Coturnix japonica: one gene and its partners. The protein of the gene in region 3 purifies or fractionates together with the protein of the main gene of each other region. This does not show direct contact. Links are inferred from orthologs where the notes say so. Each region holds a gene or a part of one and is shown on either strand. Other genes may lie near its edges.

Region 1 (6,069 bases), on a different chromosome or scaffold from region 3:
GCTGGCTCCTAGTGAGTGCCTCGAATGAGGCAGTGCTTAAAACAGCTGGGTACAATTTCACTGTCAATCTAAAAAGAAAAAGCAATAAATATTGCCACTGTTTCTTTTCTCTGGAAAGCAGGTTAACAGCAGGGCAGGTACTGCTGAGCATTGCACACTGGACACTTAGTTCTAAAGATGGGAACTTGGAGCCCCAGCCCTACCAGCTTGAGCACGGAGGCTCCCATCTTCTCTGACAGGAAGGAAAAAGCAGTCAGCATTGAGCTTATCATTACCTAGAAAGCCAGTATGCAAGAAGACCACTCAGTAAGCCTGATCAATATGCAGTCTGCCTTCCTTCTTATTTTGTGTCACAACCATTGCACAAATTATATGAAGTTCTAACAATTGTCACACATAACATTGTTTTAAGATGCAAAATAACCAACAAAAACAAAGCAGGACAATTGGATACAGGGACTTATCATGCTTTAAACTCATGAATTTGCAGTTCTTTCAATCGGTGACTTCATCTGACCTTAAGGCAAACACTCATCATAATTCAAGAGTATTTCTGATGAGAATCAATCTTGATAAATAGTGACCTAAATGGCAGTTCTAGGACTGCAGAGGATGCAATTAGGAAAATATGACCTTTCATGTGTCCCCCTTTTAAGCATCAGATATGATATAATGCTCAGTGTCAGGAATTGCTACGTTTTCCAGTAGTGAGATGAATAACACACATCTCAAAGGCCTCTCAAACTAAGCACTGTTATCTGCAAATACCCTTTTGTTACATAGCATCTTACTTTTTGAGTAGCTGTTACCAACTGTATGCCCTTGCATACAAAACAATGTCCCAGCTCCTCCTGGCCTCCCCCCCCCCAAGTATATCCTAAGGTCATACTACTATACTACTTTTATTACAATCAGTTTGATTTGGCTTGCAAGGCCTTAATCTCCAAAACATTGGCATCCTTTCTGGATTACCACAGTTAAATTGCACCAGCAATACCACAGGAACAAAGGTGGAACGTACTCTGGAAAGCTATGCTGAAGATGAAGCCTTTAATGCTTAAAAGCTCTGCAGAGTTCCTCATTTAGATACTTTCACCCCATCTGCTGAAAATGGTTTTGAAAACATAAAGCCATGCTTAAAGTCAATTTCATTCCCGTTATGTAACGTTACTTGGCCTAGTTGAGCATCCTTAATCTGTGCAGCTGAACTAGTTTTATCGTTAAGCCAATAAGGGCTGCAGCCATTACGTATCTCAGGGCTGAAGAACCACAGCAGCACCGGTTTAGGAGCCCATTAAGCAAAGTCTCCTTCCTGAATGAAAGACCTTCCATTGTACTTCACCCATTGTGAGAAATATTTGTCTGATCTATTCTTAAAACCTCTAAGAAAAGCCTCCATGTTGCCTAGTCATCTGCCTGCTACTTTAGCTTATGGCTCCTCACCCTACTACCCCCAATGGACATGAGAGAACAAATCGTCCCTTCCCTCATGGCAGCATCCTTTTATCTATTTGAAGACTTACGTCTGTGGCTCTGTTCCCTCCAGCTCTGTAACAGTCATGTGTTCAAAGACTGAGCATTATTTTTACCCTTTTTCCTCTAAATCACACACATTTTGCTCACATGGAGCCCAGCACTGGACACACCGTTTTAGCACAGCTCAGCATGGCAGGATGCCTGTATCCTATTAGCACTATACAGACCTGCATGGCATTCACTGCTCTAACAGCAGGACATTGCTATTCAGCTTGCAGCCCACAGCAGCTCCTCCATCCCTTCCTATAACACACAGCTGCCTTTCCTAACACCAATACAACCAGCCCCACAGTTATAAGCACACAGTACTACCTGATGCTTTTTCCCATTGAGTTCCCCTCTTTGCATTCTAGCCCTCTGACAGTGCATTAATACAAGCTCAGACTTGACCCCATCTCCAAACACAGCAATTACAGGGGCTGTTTCATTATAAATGAATAATGGACCGAAGGTATTTCCCCAGACAAGCGCTGACACCAAGTACATTGTACCCCAACCAGCTCTACCATGCTGGACACAGCTTGCCTTGCTCCCTCCATCCACCGAGGCACAGCATGCCCCCCTCACACAGCCATAGAGCCCTCTTACACCTATAGACCCCCCTCACACAGCCATAGACCCCTCTTACACCTATAGACCCCCTTCACACAGCCATAGACCCCTCTTACACCTATAGACCCCCCCCTCACACAGCCATAGAGCCCTCTCACACCTATAGACCCCCCTCACAAGCCAGCACAAAGACGCCTCTTTACACTCTTACTATAACTTCCCCTCTCAGCACCTATAGGAGCCCCTCAACACAGCTATAGACCCCTCAACAACAGCCCATAGACCTCTACACCTATAGACCCCCTCACACAGCCATAGAGCCCTCTTACACCTATAGACCCCCTCACACACAACGTGAAGCCCCCCCCATCTGTGCCACATCCCCACACTGCGCATGCGCCCCCAACCCGCCCGCCGCCTTTGTGTGCGGCACATTCCTCCCTCCCCCCCGCGCATGCGCACAACGCCTTCCCGTCACGCCCCGACACCCCCCTCCCCGTCAGCATGGCGCATGCGCATCCCGCGGGGTTGGCCGGCGGGCGGCGCGCATGCGCAGTGCGCGTTTCCTGGCTCCCTTGTCAGTGCCGGGCCGCCCCCCTTTCCCACCCCTCCCCTCGGCCGCCGCCGCCGCCCGGAGCGGAGTCGCGTTGACTGCCCAGAGTCCGCGAGCCCCGCTCCGCCCCCGCAGCCTCAGGTGAGTCCCGGCCCCGACCGAACGGCTGGCCGCCCTCAGGCCCAGCTGCTGAGGGGGCGGCGGCTCTGCAGCACTCAGCCGCGGCCTGCCCGCCGTGCGGGGCCCGTACCCGGCCCTGTGCTCATAGAGGGGCGGGTGGGCCGGGAGAGGGGGCGGCGGGGCAGCTCCGTCCTTGTCCGCACCGCACAGCGGCCTCAGCACCGGGCACCTGTGTGGGACGGCACCGCCCGGCTGAGTGCGGCCACCGCCCCGACGGGAACGGGCCGATATGACAGCGGGGGGAGGCAGCGATCAGTCACAGGCAGCTCTGGAAATAGGCAGAGATTTACAGCAGCTCTCACACTCACACTGTCTGTAATTTGGAAGCATCTCCTCGCTGTCTCCTTACCTCGTGCTTCTCGAGAGGTGACAGCAGCTCAGTCCTGGGCTTCTCAGGGCTGAGTTTCTGAGGGGCTGTGTGGGTGAGCAGGAGGAATTTTGGCACCCTGCCCTTAAAAGAAAATATTGAAACAAGGACAATTAGTTTGCATTTGAAAGGAAGCTCTATCTACCTAACAAAGTTACCTTGACAGTGCCTTTCCTATGTTAAATCCTGAGCTTGGCAGACAGGAGAACACTGTGGGGTTTATGCTGTATTGGTTACATCAAGTCATTCAGCCACTGATAAGAAATAAATCTTCATAAGATCTTACAAACAGTATTTATCTCCCCAAAGGAAATAATATTGCAACGATCAGATGGCAAATATTTGTGCTCTTTGAGATTGTCATCACTGTTCTTTCTTAATGAACATTACCTGCTTGCTGTGAGTTGTGGTGCTTGAGAAGGATGAGGATGCATCATGTCCCTTGTCCAGCTGTAAGCTTTGGGAACAGCCTGTAGGTTAGTGAGCAAAACAATCTCTGAACTAGGAGCTGTTAGGATGGGACAGCAGTGTTTGTACAGGGAGCCAATCTGTGCAGAAAGCACGAGGACTGCATTAGAAATAGCTGCATTCTTCAGGCAGCAGAGATTGGATAGTTTTACTTTGTATTTGGAAAGAATCAAAAAGGCTGAGCATTCCCTGTTGGTAGAAGAGCTCGTCAGCTTTTCTTGTATATGGAAATGCACTGCTACTGAATTGCTGGCATGTATTAAAGCAAGACTGGGGAAAAAGCAATTTGCTGTGATGTTTTGCTTATGTTAATGCATGGAATCTCACACCATAGCTGCCCAAGGTCAGAGGTAACTTGGATCATGGCAGTTCTCTCACATTAATAAAAATAAGTAATTATTCTTCTGAGGGCTGTACTCAAATAGCAGCTTTATGTGATCTTTAGCATATGATTATTAGAAGAAAATTAGAACAGTTACAATTATGAACTGGACTTAAAATGAAGTTCAGCTAAATGAGCTTTGAGTACATTTAATGACACTGCAGATCATGGCTTTCATATATAATATAGATTACTATATATATATATATATGAACAGTGCTGCATCATCTCTACTCAGGACTTTAGGCATATTTCTTAAAGCAGGGGAGTGCTCAGCTCTGTAAGGGGTTACTCATCTCTCATTCACTCCTGAGTTTCTGTGGGACTGCCGTTCATTTCCTGTTTGCTTCCAAATTCCTACCTTGTCCTGAAGTCTCCACCCTCTGCTAACATGGCCATACTTGGCTATGTTGTAATTTCAGGCTGCGATGGGTGTGGATGTCTTGGAGTGACATCACAGAGATGGTGCTTTTTAGATGTATGCAGTGGGGCAGACCGACAACGTGCCATCAGCCATGGATAAATTGCTACAAAAGTTTGTTTAATATGTGAAAGGAGGAAGAAATGGACAAATCCAAGTTGTGTGTGTTGAGCTGTGCACATTGCAGCTGTTGCAGGTGACCTTGAGTTGTTACAGTGCTACCTTCCATCCGTTTATGCTGTCCTTGATTAACACAGGACACAGAAATAAGATCTGATATATTAAACAGCTTCGCAGTCACCTGTTTGCACTGTCTCTTTCATAAGAGAAAAGAAAAAACTGGGTGTCTCACTTTGTATGAAACAAAGCATTCACAAACCCAAAGAATTCAATTTGATCTTTTACTGTTTGAGTCTCATAAGGATGGAAGCCATAAAGCAATTAATTGTTAGGATTAATTTGAAGGAATTAGTAATTAATTACTGATGTTAGTAGTTTTTCCCTGGGATACACATAAGTAGTTTTATCAAGCAACACATCAGCAGATTACAGTCACATCTGAGCACATCAGCTTAACCTCCTGATGGATGGAAAAGAAAAAGGCTTCATTGAGGCTCACAGCACTACAATACACACCAGAATGTCAAATCAGTTCACTGAGACATCACTGAATTTCTTATTTAAGTATTCTAATTCCCCAGTTAAATTCTTAGGTGTGTTAATTTCATAAGAACCTGTTTCCTCTTATGAGGATACAGGAAGAAACAAGTGCATACACCTTTTAGAGCAATTCATTGACCTACTAAAGATCTTGGGGCACACAGGGAAAGGTCTTAATTACAATGACACATGCACAGTAGATAGATCATCATAGTGGACTGAAGCAGCCTTTGTAGATGTTCAAGACCGATTTGTTTTTATAACTGTTCAACTTTGAAGTGCTTTGTTGTCATTTTTACATCTTTACGTTTTTTTTCCCCCCCCCCAACTTTTACAACATAGGAATATCTTTAACTCGGAATGTCTCTACATCAGTTCTTATTGGAGCCAATCACCTGCCATGCATGGAACAGAGACCGTACTCGTAAGTAACCTTTTCATTTACTTTTTCAACCGCTCTTTTCTCTGTGCTGTCAATCGGATCATCTTGAAACCTTCTGGACCACATTCAAGAAAGATGTGGTCAAATACATAACGCTGCACTTATAACCCAAAAAGCACATTACATTCCTAAATCTGGTTTTGATTTTTAGACCCTCTTTTGAAACTTTGACATGTGAGCAAACCCAGTCTTAGTGGAGCTCCAGAAAGTCTTGCCTTGGTCTTTACTTCATGAGAACATGACTTATCTCATACTCTTTAACCTCTTATTTCCCAGCCCCAAACCCAGCCTTTTCTTTTTATATATAGTCTTCTACTGAAGAAGGATAGTTATATTCTAAATGCACTGTCTTTCTGTTCAGTGTACTCACAATTGTGTTACAACCATCATTATTTGATATTATCCAGCAGGGATGTTAGCCCATCATTTACAAGGCCTATGTACTCTTAACTTTCAGAGCATTACAAGTTTTAGACTGAGAAGTTTTCCCCAAGTAAAAAGATATTAA
Region 2 (6,271 bases), on a different chromosome or scaffold from region 3:
GTTTGCCTTCTCTCTGCCTTAAAAGAAGCAAGCAGGAGAATGTCTTGGCTCCTGTACGTGATAGTCAGAATATACAGGAATACCTTTACTCTTTTCCCACCTTTAATGTTAAAAGCAGTCCAAGAGGAGGTTTCCATAGTATTTCAGTAGATTGGAATCTCTAATCAAGATGGACCAGCATCACTTCAGCTACTTCCTTCTTCTGGGTCCAAAACTGATGGTTGTCTTGCTTCGAGTTAATAGTCTTTAAACAGTCTTTCTTGCTGTAAGAACTCTTACTATGGAACCTAGTCCACCTGCTGCTAATGCCTGTGGGGTGGGAGAAGGAGACAAGATCAGTTCTACAGTCACACACGGCTTACGATGAAACCTTCATTGTTCTTAGCAGCCTGCAGGGCTGGCAGTGGTTCTGCTGGTACAACTTGTGTGTTCCGTCACACAAAGCGCACGCTGTATTTGTTAACTCCTAAGCAATGTTTTATGCTAATTGCTACAACCAGAGCATCAGTTCTCAAGTTGTTCCACCCCTCTGTACCTGTGCAGGTACCTTCTGCACTGCTAAAACCTTCAGCTTCCTGCAGTAACAAGTTCTACATTCACACACTTATTCCTTTGCCACATTTCAGCTCCTTGCCTGTTCCTGTCTTGGGCCATGAACTCGGGAGCTCTATGCCCCCTGTCCTCTCTGAACGTACAGATGAGCTCCTTCTTTGACCCAGGTTTTTGCAGTACATACACAGCGCTACTCTCTAAACATGCTATAAATCTAAGAAGCAAGGAAATGAAGGGTGGACAAAACAGCTCATTGTAACACATCCCACCACATCTGAAGGCTAAAGTACACAAAACCTTATGAACTGACTTGCATCTAGTGAAGGACACCGATGATGCAGAATACCTTACACTCCTGCTCCTGAATGGGGAAAGGAGGAAGGGCTTAGTCTGGTTTCATTTGCATCCTTAATAAAAATGAAACATTCTTCTAAAGTCTAGGAGGAGATGCATGTAAGTGAGGGCCGCAGAGGAGCTGCTCAGATTAGACCTGACGGATGCAGAAATGGCATCAGGCCCTTCCAGGGGCCAGGCAGGTGCTGCTGAGCTGCTGCCCACAGTCAGAGTGAGCTGCACGTCCTGCCTGCACTGCTGGAAAGCAGAACACAAAGCTCTAAGCAGCTCCCTGCACACTGCACAACTGCAGCTTTCCTTTGAAAACAAAGGGGAAGAGATGCTTGCACGTGTCTACGTGTTCTGAGCAGTGACTTCTTTCCAGTCAGGGCAGTCTTGTGTAATGTTACGTACTGGGAGTATCAACCTACGGTGACCCAAAAAGAGCCTCCAGTAGGAAGAACAACACAAAATGTCAAGCACAAACATGTTCCTTCCTGTGCAATTTCCTCCCCCTCCTGCCTATCGATATTCTGCAAGGCTGGGGACAGCTGCCAGGAGCTGGAGTCACCATTGCACAACTTGTTTTAACTCATCACAAGGAAGCACGCCCTGTGCAAATGACCGGCCAGCAGCCAGCTGTGAGCACAGCACATACAGCCCCCCTCGCTGCGACCCTGCCACAGAAACGCCACTAAGTGCCACTGAGGCATCAAAGCCTTTACTGTGCAAACTGAGCAGGTTTGCTATAACTGGTCAGCTCGGATGTACTTCAGCACAGCGTTTCACTGACAAAAAGCATCACATCTGAGCCATCCTGGGCACCCCATGAGCCAAAGGCACCTTCAATCAATCAATCAATCAATCTCACCTCCACTCCCAGCTGCTGCTCCTTGTGGGGGAAACCACCACCAGACACAAGTCATAAACCTTCCTGCAGCTGACGCTGCTCTGCCACACCCACCCCTCCCATCCCTCCAGGCTGAGGAGAGCTCTGAAGTACCACAGAAACTCCATACGCCCAACACCAAGAGGCCAAGAACAAAAGGCAGCACCGAGCTCTGCTCCTCAGGGAGGATCCCCCTCATCGCACACCTCCCCATCCAGGAGGTCCTGAAAGCACCGACAGTGACAACAGAGCCCAGAGCAAACACTCACCTTTTCATGCCATTGGAGTAATATTGCACTGCTATTTTCTGTCGGCTTTTCAAATCCTTTATAAATATACTTCATTAACAAGTCAATCCCGTTTCTGTCTAAGGAGTTCACCGCTTGTTCAATTTCACTGCTCTTAAAAGACGTGAGGACTCTGAGCATGGTGCCCTGCGCCTGCTCCTGCACAGGAAGGAAAACGGCATTAGGATCAGCAAAGCTGGATGTGACCCCAAGTGCAGCAAAGCACTCGGAGCAGCGGCTGCGCTGATGGTGTGAAGATGCAGCAGCCAAACAGGAGGAAGTTTTACACTTTAAGTTTCAGTAGTGAGAAGGAAGAAGAGCAGAGAGCTTTAAAACTGGACTTGTTGGTGTTCCCACCTGGGGGGAACCACCTGAACTGCACTGCAGAACAAACCTACAGCCCGAGAACAACGAACAACGTCCGGCTCCTGCAGCACAAGATCCCCTGGGCTGTGCTCTGTGCTCCCTCTCAGCCCCCGGCTGCTGCCGGCCGCGTTTCCCCACAGCACGGGCCGCTCCCCGGGCACACAGCAGCACCGGGCCGTCCTACAGCAGCACCGCGACACCCGCACACAAACCGCAGCGCCGTCCTTCAAGAGCAGACGGACGGGAGGTGCCATGGAGCACAAGGTCAGCGCCGGGGGCGCCGCTCGTTACCGGTCCCGGGGCCGCACTCACCTTCATGGCCGCGCTGCGCGTCTGTGCGGGGTTGTTCCTTAGGGCCGCGTGCAGCGCGCGCAGCGCTTCGCCTCTACGGCGAGAGTCAAGGAGCAACGGCGGCACCGGGAGCACCGGGACGGAGCGATAAGGGGAGGGGGCAGGGGAGGAGGGCGCTGCAAAGCGGGTACCTGAACTACGGCCACACAACGGCAGCGGGGAGGGACGGGACCGGGGGCAGCACGGAGGGCAGCACCAAGCAGCACCGAGCAGCACCGGGCAGCACCGGGCAGCACCGAGCGGCACCGGGCGATACCGGGCAGCACCGGGCGATACCAGCCAGCACCGGGCAGTACCGGGCAGTACGGGGCAGTACCGAGCAGTACCGAGCAGTACCGGGCGATACCGGGCAGCACCGGGCAGTACCGAGCAGCCTCAGGCCGCGCTCCCGCCCCGCAAACCTTCCCGAGGCCCCGCGGGCAGCGCTCGGTGGCCGTGCCGCCATGAAGGATACTGCCTCAGCAGCGCCTCCACCTCGGGGCTCGCGTCGGGTTCGGCCGCCGCCGCCTCCTCGGGCTCCTCCACGAAGCGGTTCTCGTCGTACTGATCGATGTCCAGGCGGCGGAAGCGGGACGAGAGCGTGCTCCGCGCCATGCCGACGGAACCGGAACCGTCGGAACCGGAACCTCCCCCGCCGCTCCGCCGGAACCGGAAGCGCGGAGCCCGCCCCGCCCGGAGCAGGAAGGAGCGGAGCGGAGTGCGCCCCCCCGTCCCGTCCCGTCCCGTCCCGTCCCGTCCGGCGCCACGGAGCGACACGGCGCTGAAAAACCACAACGAGCCTTTAATTACAAAGTGGGCGGCGGCACCAACGGCCGCGGAACTTTGCTGCTGAAATCTCGTACATCTACGGGAGACGAACGGAGCCGCACGGAGCACCGGGAGCAGCCGAACGGCGCCGCTCAGCGGAGAAACGAACAACGAGCGGTTCGGATCCGCACAAATGGATCCGGGGGAGGGCGGGGAAACGGCTGCGCAGCGCAATGACAACGAACGGCGATAAGTTAAAGATAAAAGGCAGAGGCGGCATCTCAGCAGCAAAGTGCTCAATAAAAAGTATATTGTAGGGCGGGGGCGGCTCAGAGGAAGTAGGGGGTGGTTGTCCGGGGAGGGATCACCCGCTCTGAGTCTGGGACGGCGCGGAACAGCCTCGGTTCTCTCGTATTTACGTCCTGGAAGACCATGATGGAAGCGATGTTCCCGCAGCGATAGCAGTAATTGGGAGCTGACCACACCGTTACCAACTTCTCGTCAAACATGAATTTGTAGCCTTCGTGAACCAGCTGATGTGCTCTGCAGATGAGCTTCAGGTTGTTGATGTGGACAAACTGCAAAGAAAAGTGGCGTGTCACAGCTCTGTGCGTGGCCGCGCAGCAGCTGCTGCCCAGCAGAGCTCCTCAGCGCTGTGTGGGCCCAGCTCCGGGCTCAGCTCTGGGCTCTGCAGCGCTGACAGCACTGACCCACCCGGGAGGTTTTCCCAAGGCCTCTGAGAGGTGCAGGCTGTGCTAAGGACACTCCCTGTGTCCCTGTGCTCCCAGCACAGCTCTGCGGCCCCAGCCATGTGTGCCCAGCACCCCCACAGAGCTGGGACTGAGCTGATGGTGCTGGGAGCAAACCGCTCCTGTCAGAGCACAGAGGGCAACTTTGGGCTTTGAAACCTGAACAGTGAGAAACACTCCTGCCTGTGACAGCCGTGGTGCCTAGGCCTGCACTGCCCACGCCTTTCAATCCCTCCTGAATATGCTGCAGAGGAGCAGAGAACAACACACTGCATGAGGCAGGGATTCATCTTAGGGCCGGTTCAGAAGCCTGGGAAGTTCAGTGGGTCTGAGCCTCTTACTATGTTGCAAAGTAACAAAAATTAAGTCAAAGCTAGTATTTCTTCTTCCAAATCATTAGACAAGTATTCTACACAAAGCCTAGTAATTCTAGTTAGTCTCACTGCATTACACTTTTTAAACACAAGGTGTGCATTATCTCACTTGGCACTTTATGAGGGGAAAAGAGTATGTCACGAGAAAACCTCCCTCACCTCCACACCAACTCAGTCCCCTCACAAGGGAAGTTCCTTAATCCACTCGTCACTACAGTAAAGTCAAACACTTCATCTCACACCTGCAATTATGGGACGCAGCACAGGACGGCATCGTTACCTCATTTGTCACCTTAGCACCAAACAGCCAACCCGCCCCTCGCGGACTGATGGCCCACGTATCCACATCTTCTGGATCAGACCAAACCAGGTCACAGAAGGCGCCTTTATGAGGAATTTCTTGATTACGTTCAATGGTGCGAATCTGATCGAGTGTCTTGATGTCCGGAGACAATCCACCGTGCACACAGAGAATCTGCTCATCTATTAGCTGGAGAGAAAAAGGAACACAAAGAATGCTCAGTATTTCAACCAAACCAAGAACCTCTCCAGCACCACCCTCACCACCACCAATTCTTCAAGTTATATTTAGACAATCTACCTGTATCTTTTTTAAGGTGTTTACACTTACAGCTGCTATTGTGAGCATGTCAAAGACTTTGGTGCAGTATCTCCAAGCATTAGCATTTCCGTATTTGGTTTGGCACTCATCTGTTAAATAGAGAATTTTTTTCTTCTTAACAGACCAGAAGGAATTCAGGCAATATGATCAGAGTCAAACAGAACAGAACCTAAAAAGGCAGATGTAAACCAAAAAGCAAACAGACAAATAAAAAACAGCTGGGAGCAACCGGTGAGCACTGGCTGGAAAGCACTGCTCACTGCTTCTGTGGTCCACCAGCAGGGAGAGAACCTCAGTATCTACTGCTGTGTCTTCAGCAACAGACAGAGGAAAAAGCAACACGACAGACAGCACCTCAGCATCTTCCCACCACTGACTGCCTGGGAACAGCCCCCCTGCTCACCCAGCAGTGTTTATACTCTACATTTCATGCAAGAGAAGTGAGGCAGAAACAGTGAACCCATCAGGGCTAATTAGAGACCTTTTCACTACAAATAAGTGTTACAGTAGCTTTGTTTGTAGCTATACAAACACATCAATAAAACTGATGGACAAATTTTACTTTGGAGCTTCACGAGGCTTACAAATGTTTATATATGCTCTTGTTGACACACTATATCATGTTATCCAGAAGAAAGCAAATTACAGCCTATATATGACAATGCTTTTCTCAGTTATACCTAAAGAGAATTATGTAGAATCTTTTATTTAAAGATACCAAAGCATATCATCAAAAAATGCAAAGAAAAACTGAGATGCTGGAGGAAAAGATGGTCTGGAGATGGACTAAAACGCTTTTACTTCTTGAACACAACAGTGTTAAATAACATTTGAGACCGTTTCCCACCCAGTTCAAGTAAAGCCCCACTTAACAGTGCACACACAAAGCCGATTTCAAAAGGGAAATAGGAGGTAGTTGTTGATGGCATGCTGGCCCCCATTCAGAAATCACTTGGGTAAAGTCTTACCATAGAATCCATACACTTGTGTTATCTGCCTGC
Region 3 (6,284 bases):
CTCCAGCTCCTTTTCCAATGAATATTTAAGGATCTGAAAACACATTTGTTTCTTTCTCCTGGGCTACAGCCTAGAAGACTAATGGTAATGCAACATCTCGTGTTCTGTAAATTACAGAGAAGGCTTTAGGGAACGTGCAGATAATCAGTATTCCAATTTCATTAAAAGTAGCAGATTTATTGCCAGCGAGATAGGAACCTACTGGAAACTCTACAAAACATACCATATTGAAGACGGCATTAAAGATCAGTAGGAACGTGTTCCAGTAGATGGAGCATAAGGATAGGACAAGGGGGAATGATTTTAACCTGAATGGGGGTAGTTTTAGATTAGACAGTAGGATAAACTCTTCACGATGAGGGCAGAGAGATCATGGCATAGCTGCCCATAGAGCATCCCTGCCCCATCCTTGGATGTGCTCAGGGCTGGGTGGGCCTAAGGGAGAGTTGTCCTTGCTAATGCCAAGGGGCTGGAACTGGATAAGCTTTAAGGTGCCTTCTAACCCAAACTGTTACGTAGCCCCACAGTTCTAAGTTTGAACATTTCCGAATTTCTTTAGTTTTATTGTTTTAAAGATGGAAACCAAGAAGCAACGTGTCAGATCCACAAACGAGCTCTGAAGAGACAGAACTACTGAGAACACCAAAAGGCCTTAAGGAAGAGCAGTATCATTATTACAGATATCCCTGAGAAACTCCAAACGCGAAGTCCTTATAAAGATGTGGAGATGCACTTTAGGAATGAAGGAGGATGTGAGGAAGGAATAGGAATGAAGAAAGAATGCAGTAGAAAATAATAGGAAAAGCCATGTCTGCACAATGTATAGAGAAGCATCACCAACCTCTACATTAATAAACTGCAAATTAGAGCCATAGCTTTGGGAGAGACTGGTAGGACCAGGACTGAAGCCTGTGATTATAAATAACAGCTCATTAACCCATCCTCCTTACACCCAGAACAGCAATTAGAAACGTAGCTGTGCACGTCTCACGTGTAAAGAGCAGAGATAATAATACTTGCACGGAACAACTCATTTCACATCAGAAATACAATAATAAGAAAAAGCATTGCAAGGTTCCGGCCAACTTTAATGGCAAAAGCAACAACAACCCCTCAAGTTTCAAGCTTTAAGACAAGTAGAGCTCACTTCACCCAGAAATCAAGTATTTACTTATAAGCTGATCAGTAACGCTTGGCCAAAGTCGGCTTTCCTTACTAAAATAAAAATCACTTGAATAAAATACACCTAAAAATAGAAGCATTCCTCGATGCCTGAAGATGAAGAGCAGTATTTTAAGCCACCTCCGTTCCGCCCACCCACTTAGTGGAGTGCTGATGTCCCACAGCTAAATGCCAATTAATAAAACCAGCCACCAAGTTTAAAGCCTCTTGGAACAGCAACACCAGAGAGGCCTGGTACTGCGAAGGCCCTAAAAATAGCATGTCCTTCTGCACATGAGGACTGACAGCAACACATAAGCTGATCACCAGGAAAACCTCACTCAGAGAAAACAAAGACGTAGTGCATCAAAACCAGAGTGGGATGTTCCATTTGCAAATGCATTTTTCTTCTCATGCACAAAATATACCACAGTGCATCTGCACACACCTTGCTGTTTCCGTAATGCTCTTCCAAGTTTTTCAGCTGAAAGCCTTTACATGAATCATTTGAATGAATTGTTCCAAGCCAGCAACGCAAAGTAGATTCATTCTAACAATAAGAAGGTTTTCAACCCACACAGAGGAAAATTCCAGAGACTGGATCAGTGAGTCAAGCTAATTCTGGCTGCTTGGAGCAGAATCTTACGTCTTCTTGTTCTGCAAGATGATTTACTTCAGATAAAGTCCCATCAGCAGAGACACCACATTGTCTCACAGAATCACAGAATGACCCGGGTTGGAAGGGACCTCAAGGATCATGTAGTTCCAACCCGCCTGCCTGGCAGGGCCACCAAACATACACCTTTACTAGATCAGGTTGCCCAGGGCCCCGTCCAACCTGGTCTTGAACACCTCCAAGGACGGGGCATCCACAACCTCCCTGGGCAGCCTGTTCCAGAGCATAACCACTCTCCTAGAGAAGAACTTTCCCCTAACATCCAACCTAAATCTTCCCTCTTTCAACTTAAAACCATTTCCCCGTGTCCTGCTATTGTCAGCCCTTTCGAATAGGTCTCACACCTATTAAGATCACTTGGAGGCATGGAAATAACAAGTCCACTTGTGGGCTGTCTGAACCCTTTCTGAAACAAGGTACTATACCTGTATACACACAGATTCCAGCTCCTACAAAGGACAGACAGACATATTTTGTGCACGTTCTGGATTTGGCAGTTCATAGCATATCTTTTCTAAAGGACTTACCTAGAGTTCCCCTTTCCCCAAGAAAAGCTCTTCAATTCTGTGAAGTAACATTCCTGAAACACCAAAGTTCCTTGCAGAACAGATACTTAAAATCTCTTTGGGATTTATACATGGGAAATTACCATGGAATATCAGACAGGCAGAATTACATACAAGATGGAACCCATTCTCTGTTCTACTCCCAGAGCTTTCAGCTGTGGACTCCAGTATTCTCCACTGAGGAGACTGAACTGATTTCAGGTCATATAAGCAGAGACAGCACGAGAGACTTGTGAAAGTTTTGTCACAGCTTAATAAACTTCAAAATACAAAATCCTTTTACAGAAGGTGGTGAACCCATCAGCTAAATGGGTTGCTCTGGTTACCTATCACTTCTTTTTTAAGTTATCTTTCTTTTCCTTTTGGTTTTCATACAATAGCTTAAAATTTGGAAATTTTAAAGAGAAATTTCCAGGCATCACCTGAACCAAAACAGTGCAACCAATTCCCTGCAGAAGGAAGGGCTATTCTTGCCATCAGTAAATGAAATTGCTGACCCTAAAGCACAGCCTGACATGCGAAGTTACCAGCTGAACTCATGTACCACTGTCTTTTCTCTTCCTGAGAGCTTTCGATCACTGCAGGGCCAAAGAAAAGAGTGCAGTGCATCTCCAGCATCTCCATCACAGCTCCCTCGGTCACCTCCCACTCCTGAGGCACAACAGCAGCACCAACAGACCCATCAGAAGCTGGCGGTCCTCACTAGACACAGACAGGTAGTTAAGATCTATCCCTCTGCAAAGCCAAACGCCCAGCACAGCCTCTGCAGTTCAGATTCACTCCTCACAATGACAAGTTACAAAACTCGTGGTTTGGCTAAACACTGCATAGGTTATAGAATAAGTTACAGTACATTACTTGCCCAGGCAGGGTAAGTATAGATCTTTCTCCTCACGGACGTTCCAAATGTCATTCCCACGTTTAGCATTTAAGTCCTTGGATCGTTGTAAAGTCAAAGAACGGAAAAGAGGAGAAACGGGCTCGTTGGGACACAGCACCCCCCCCCCCCCCCCCGTCACACACACGTCGCCAAAAAGGCTGTGACCGCCGGTCCCCCCCCGCTCCCCACACTCACCCGGTGCCTCCGTCTATCACGCAGGGCGGCAGGTAGCTCGCCATGCTGGGGAGCCGGCCCTACACCGCACACAGCCCGCAGCCGGCTCCCCCCCGGCCCGGCCTCACTGCATGGGAGCCGGAGGGGCGGCGGGCACCATGCAGCCGCCTGGCAGCGCTGCCTACAAGGCGCATGCGCCGCCCACCGGCACTACGTGACGTGACCGGCCGCCTTGGGCTCTTGGCGGCCATCTTAGGAGGGGGCGGTGTGCCCGCGAGGATGGCTGAGGGAGGGACTTTCTCCTCACCTCATCCCCTTGTCATGGGCTTCAGAACACAGTGAATGAAGTTGCTGAACGGTGTTTAAGTCAGCAGTGTTGTAGCGTTGTTTGGGGCATCACAGAATAGTAGGGATTCAAAGGGATCTCTGGAGATCTTGCAGTCTGAGCAGGAATATCTCCAGAGATATCCTTGGATATCTCCAGAGAAGGAGACCCCATAACCTCTCTGTGCAGCCTGTTCCAATGCTCTGCCCTCTGACAGTGGAGTTCTTCCTTGTGTTGATTGTGCACCATTGATCACAACCCTCAGAGGGGTAACCGTCACTGAGCGAGTACACAATGACCAAATATACATTTATTGGGTTAAAAACTTCTTTTAAACCTCGCAAAGGACACAGCAGAGTAAGAGAAGGAAAACTTCTTTTAAGCCTCCCATGGCCACAAAGGACACAGCAGAGTTAAGAGAAGGAGAAAGAGTTCACCACACCCCAGCAAACACTGCAGATGCTGGTGTCCCTCAGAGCAAGGCTCACCTCACAGGTCACGTCTGAGTGGTGGTGGGGTTTGCCCCGCCAGCATTTAACCATTCAATCATGAAAATACTAATTGTGTTCCTCTGGGTGCAGGTGGGTGCAGCACAGCCTGCATATCTGCATATCCCCTGAGCTGGCTACAAGCAGACCCAGAATACACTGAATTAATACCCAACTCTCAAAGCATTTGAGAAAACAAAAATAATAAGCTGCAACAAACATCACCTGCAAAGTTGTTGACATCCTATTTACATATACGATTATGATTCCTCATACGTGACTCAGCCGTGGTCATGCTATGAGTGCATGGTAACAGCACCAGAAATAGGCCTTGCAGATGCTTTGACCCCTGTGTTAACCACAGGGATACATTTATTAACCATGGGGGTGTTGCTTTTTATCAGCCCCTCCCAGTCGAGCACTGCTGTGTTGCTCACACAGAAACAGGCTTTATATGAAACAATGAGAATATATCCCCTGGTCCTCAGAAATGCCATCTTTGGTGCAATAACTGTAGAGTGTTGCGGATGCCTGTGGGGTTTATTCAGCCATTTACCCCACACCGAGCTCATTCACTCGACATATTTGCTCACACTGGTCCCCATAGAAATTTTGGAAGATAACAGAGCATGGTGGAAGCCAGCCCAGTTTGTGTGTTGGAAAGGCTCCCTTATCAGTGTGCTGAGACAGCTTAACAGGCAGGCTCTAATAAGTGCACCCAAGGATTGGGGATTCAAGGTGGATGGAAATCATCTGCTTCTTCTGCAGTCAAGTCTGAATGATGCATTAAAGGCACTGCATTGGGATCCAACAGGAAAGGAGAAAAAAAAAAAGAAAGAAGAAGAATTCTTTGACATCCTTGGCCAAAATCCCCCCTCTCACATGCTGTCGCACAATATGCTATGTTTAGAGAATACACGCTCATATGCTACATAGGCACATTTCTGTAATATTTCCTACCATTCTCAAGTTCCCTTTCCACCCCCACCCCCCAGCTGCGATGGCTGAGAAGAAAGCTTCATCTGGAAGAGGAGATACTGTGATAGTTCACACGTAGCCTGCAGGCTGCATGTAGAAATTCAATTTGCAAACAGCTGCAGAGGTTTGAAACATTTGTGCTCTGCCCTTTTTCTTCTCAAGATGTTTATTGCCATCCCTGGGGCATTGATTACTACCCCCTGGCTCTCCCAGCTGTTTGCTGTAGTGCTTCCTAACCCACTTCAAGCAGGATCAGCTGAGATAGTTCAAACAGTTTAAGTAGGTGCTGTGCACTAATCTAGTCAATTATGCCTGAAGAGGGTTAGGGAGCATTCAAATTGCTTTGTTAGCAGAGGGGAAGGGATGGGATTGGATCAATCATTGTAATATTTTGAGCTGTTCCAGCTGGATCCAGAAGAAAATATCTGTCCACAGTCAAGTAGCATAGAGACAAGACCATGGAGAACCAGGAAACTATTGTGGCTATACATTCCACTCTGTGCTGGTGAGGCCTCACCTGGAGTACTGTGTCCAAGTGTGGAGTCCTCAGTACAGGAGAGCCATAGACCTGTTGGAGTACATCAAAGGAGAGATGCAGAAATGATTCAAAGGATGGAACAGAACACCCTGCCTGTGAGGACAGGCTGAGAGAGCTGGGGCTGTTCAGCCTGGAGACCTGAGTTCAGACTTTCAGTATCTAAAGAGGAGCTACAGGAGAGAAGGGGATAGACTCTTCAGCAGGGTCTGTAGTGATGGAACATGAGGAAATGGTTTCAAGCTTAAAGAGGGTAGATTTAGGTTGGATGTAAGGAATAAGTCTTTTACAGTGAGGTTGGTGAGGCACTGAAACAGGCTGCCCGGAGTTGTGTTGATGCCCTATCCCTGGAGACTTTCAAGGTGAGGCTGGATCAGGCCCTGGGCAACTTGATTGCGCCATGGGGTCCCTGCTCAATGGAGTTGGACTATGTGGCCTTTAAAGAACAACAGTTTGACAAGTTTAAGCTGTACTGAAAGGAAATGACATCCAAGAAGGTTA

The links. The genes of interacting proteins can lie anywhere in the genome.
Region 1: the proteins of ACTR3B (region 3) and ARPC1A purify together in Homo sapiens (affinity purification with mass spectrometry; 5 studies listed by BioGRID and IntAct, counting the BioPlex papers as one, with this or other methods). This does not show direct contact. The link is inferred for Coturnix japonica from reciprocal best matches to the Homo sapiens genes ACTR3B and ARPC1A.
Region 2: the proteins of ACTR3B (region 3) and ARPC5L purify together in Homo sapiens (affinity purification with mass spectrometry; 3 studies listed by BioGRID and IntAct, counting the BioPlex papers as one, with this or other methods). This does not show direct contact. The link is inferred for Coturnix japonica from reciprocal best matches to the Homo sapiens genes ACTR3B and ARPC5L.

What each region holds. Positions count from the first base shown.
Region 1 is NC_029529.1:4,391,241-4,397,309, forward strand, and holds the start of ARPC1A (actin-related protein 2/3 complex subunit 1A), read left to right. Parts: upstream 1-2,649; 5' UTR 2,650-2,782; intron 2,783-3,170; exon of another isoform or gene 3,171-3,272; intron 3,273-3,578; exon of another isoform or gene 3,579-4,491; intron 4,492-5,461; 5' UTR 5,462-5,479; coding exon 5,480-5,543; intron 5,544-6,069. UniProt on the Homo sapiens protein: Probably functions as a component of the Arp2/3 complex which is involved in regulation of actin polymerization and together with an activating nucleation-promoting factor (NPF) mediates the formation of branched actin networks.
Region 2 is NC_029532.1:8,068,670-8,074,940, forward strand, and holds the start of ARPC5L (actin-related protein 2/3 complex subunit 5-like protein), read right to left. Parts: upstream 3,421-6,271; 5' UTR 3,373-3,420; coding exon 3,233-3,372; intron 2,813-3,232; coding exon 2,740-2,812; intron 2,221-2,739; coding exon 2,044-2,220; intron 310-2,043; coding exon 247-309; 3' UTR 1-246. Other genes in the region: PPP6C (serine/threonine-protein phosphatase 6 catalytic subunit), read right to left, coding at 3,855-4,103, 4,929-5,138, 5,280-5,359, 6,239-6,271. UniProt on the Homo sapiens protein: May function as component of the Arp2/3 complex which is involved in regulation of actin polymerization and together with an activating nucleation-promoting factor (NPF) mediates the formation of branched actin networks.
Region 3 is NC_029517.1:6,048,636-6,054,919, reverse strand, and holds the start of ACTR3B (actin-related protein 3B), read right to left. Parts: upstream 3,656-6,284; 5' UTR 3,523-3,655; coding exon 3,479-3,522; intron 1-3,478. UniProt on the Homo sapiens protein: Plays a role in the organization of the actin cytoskeleton.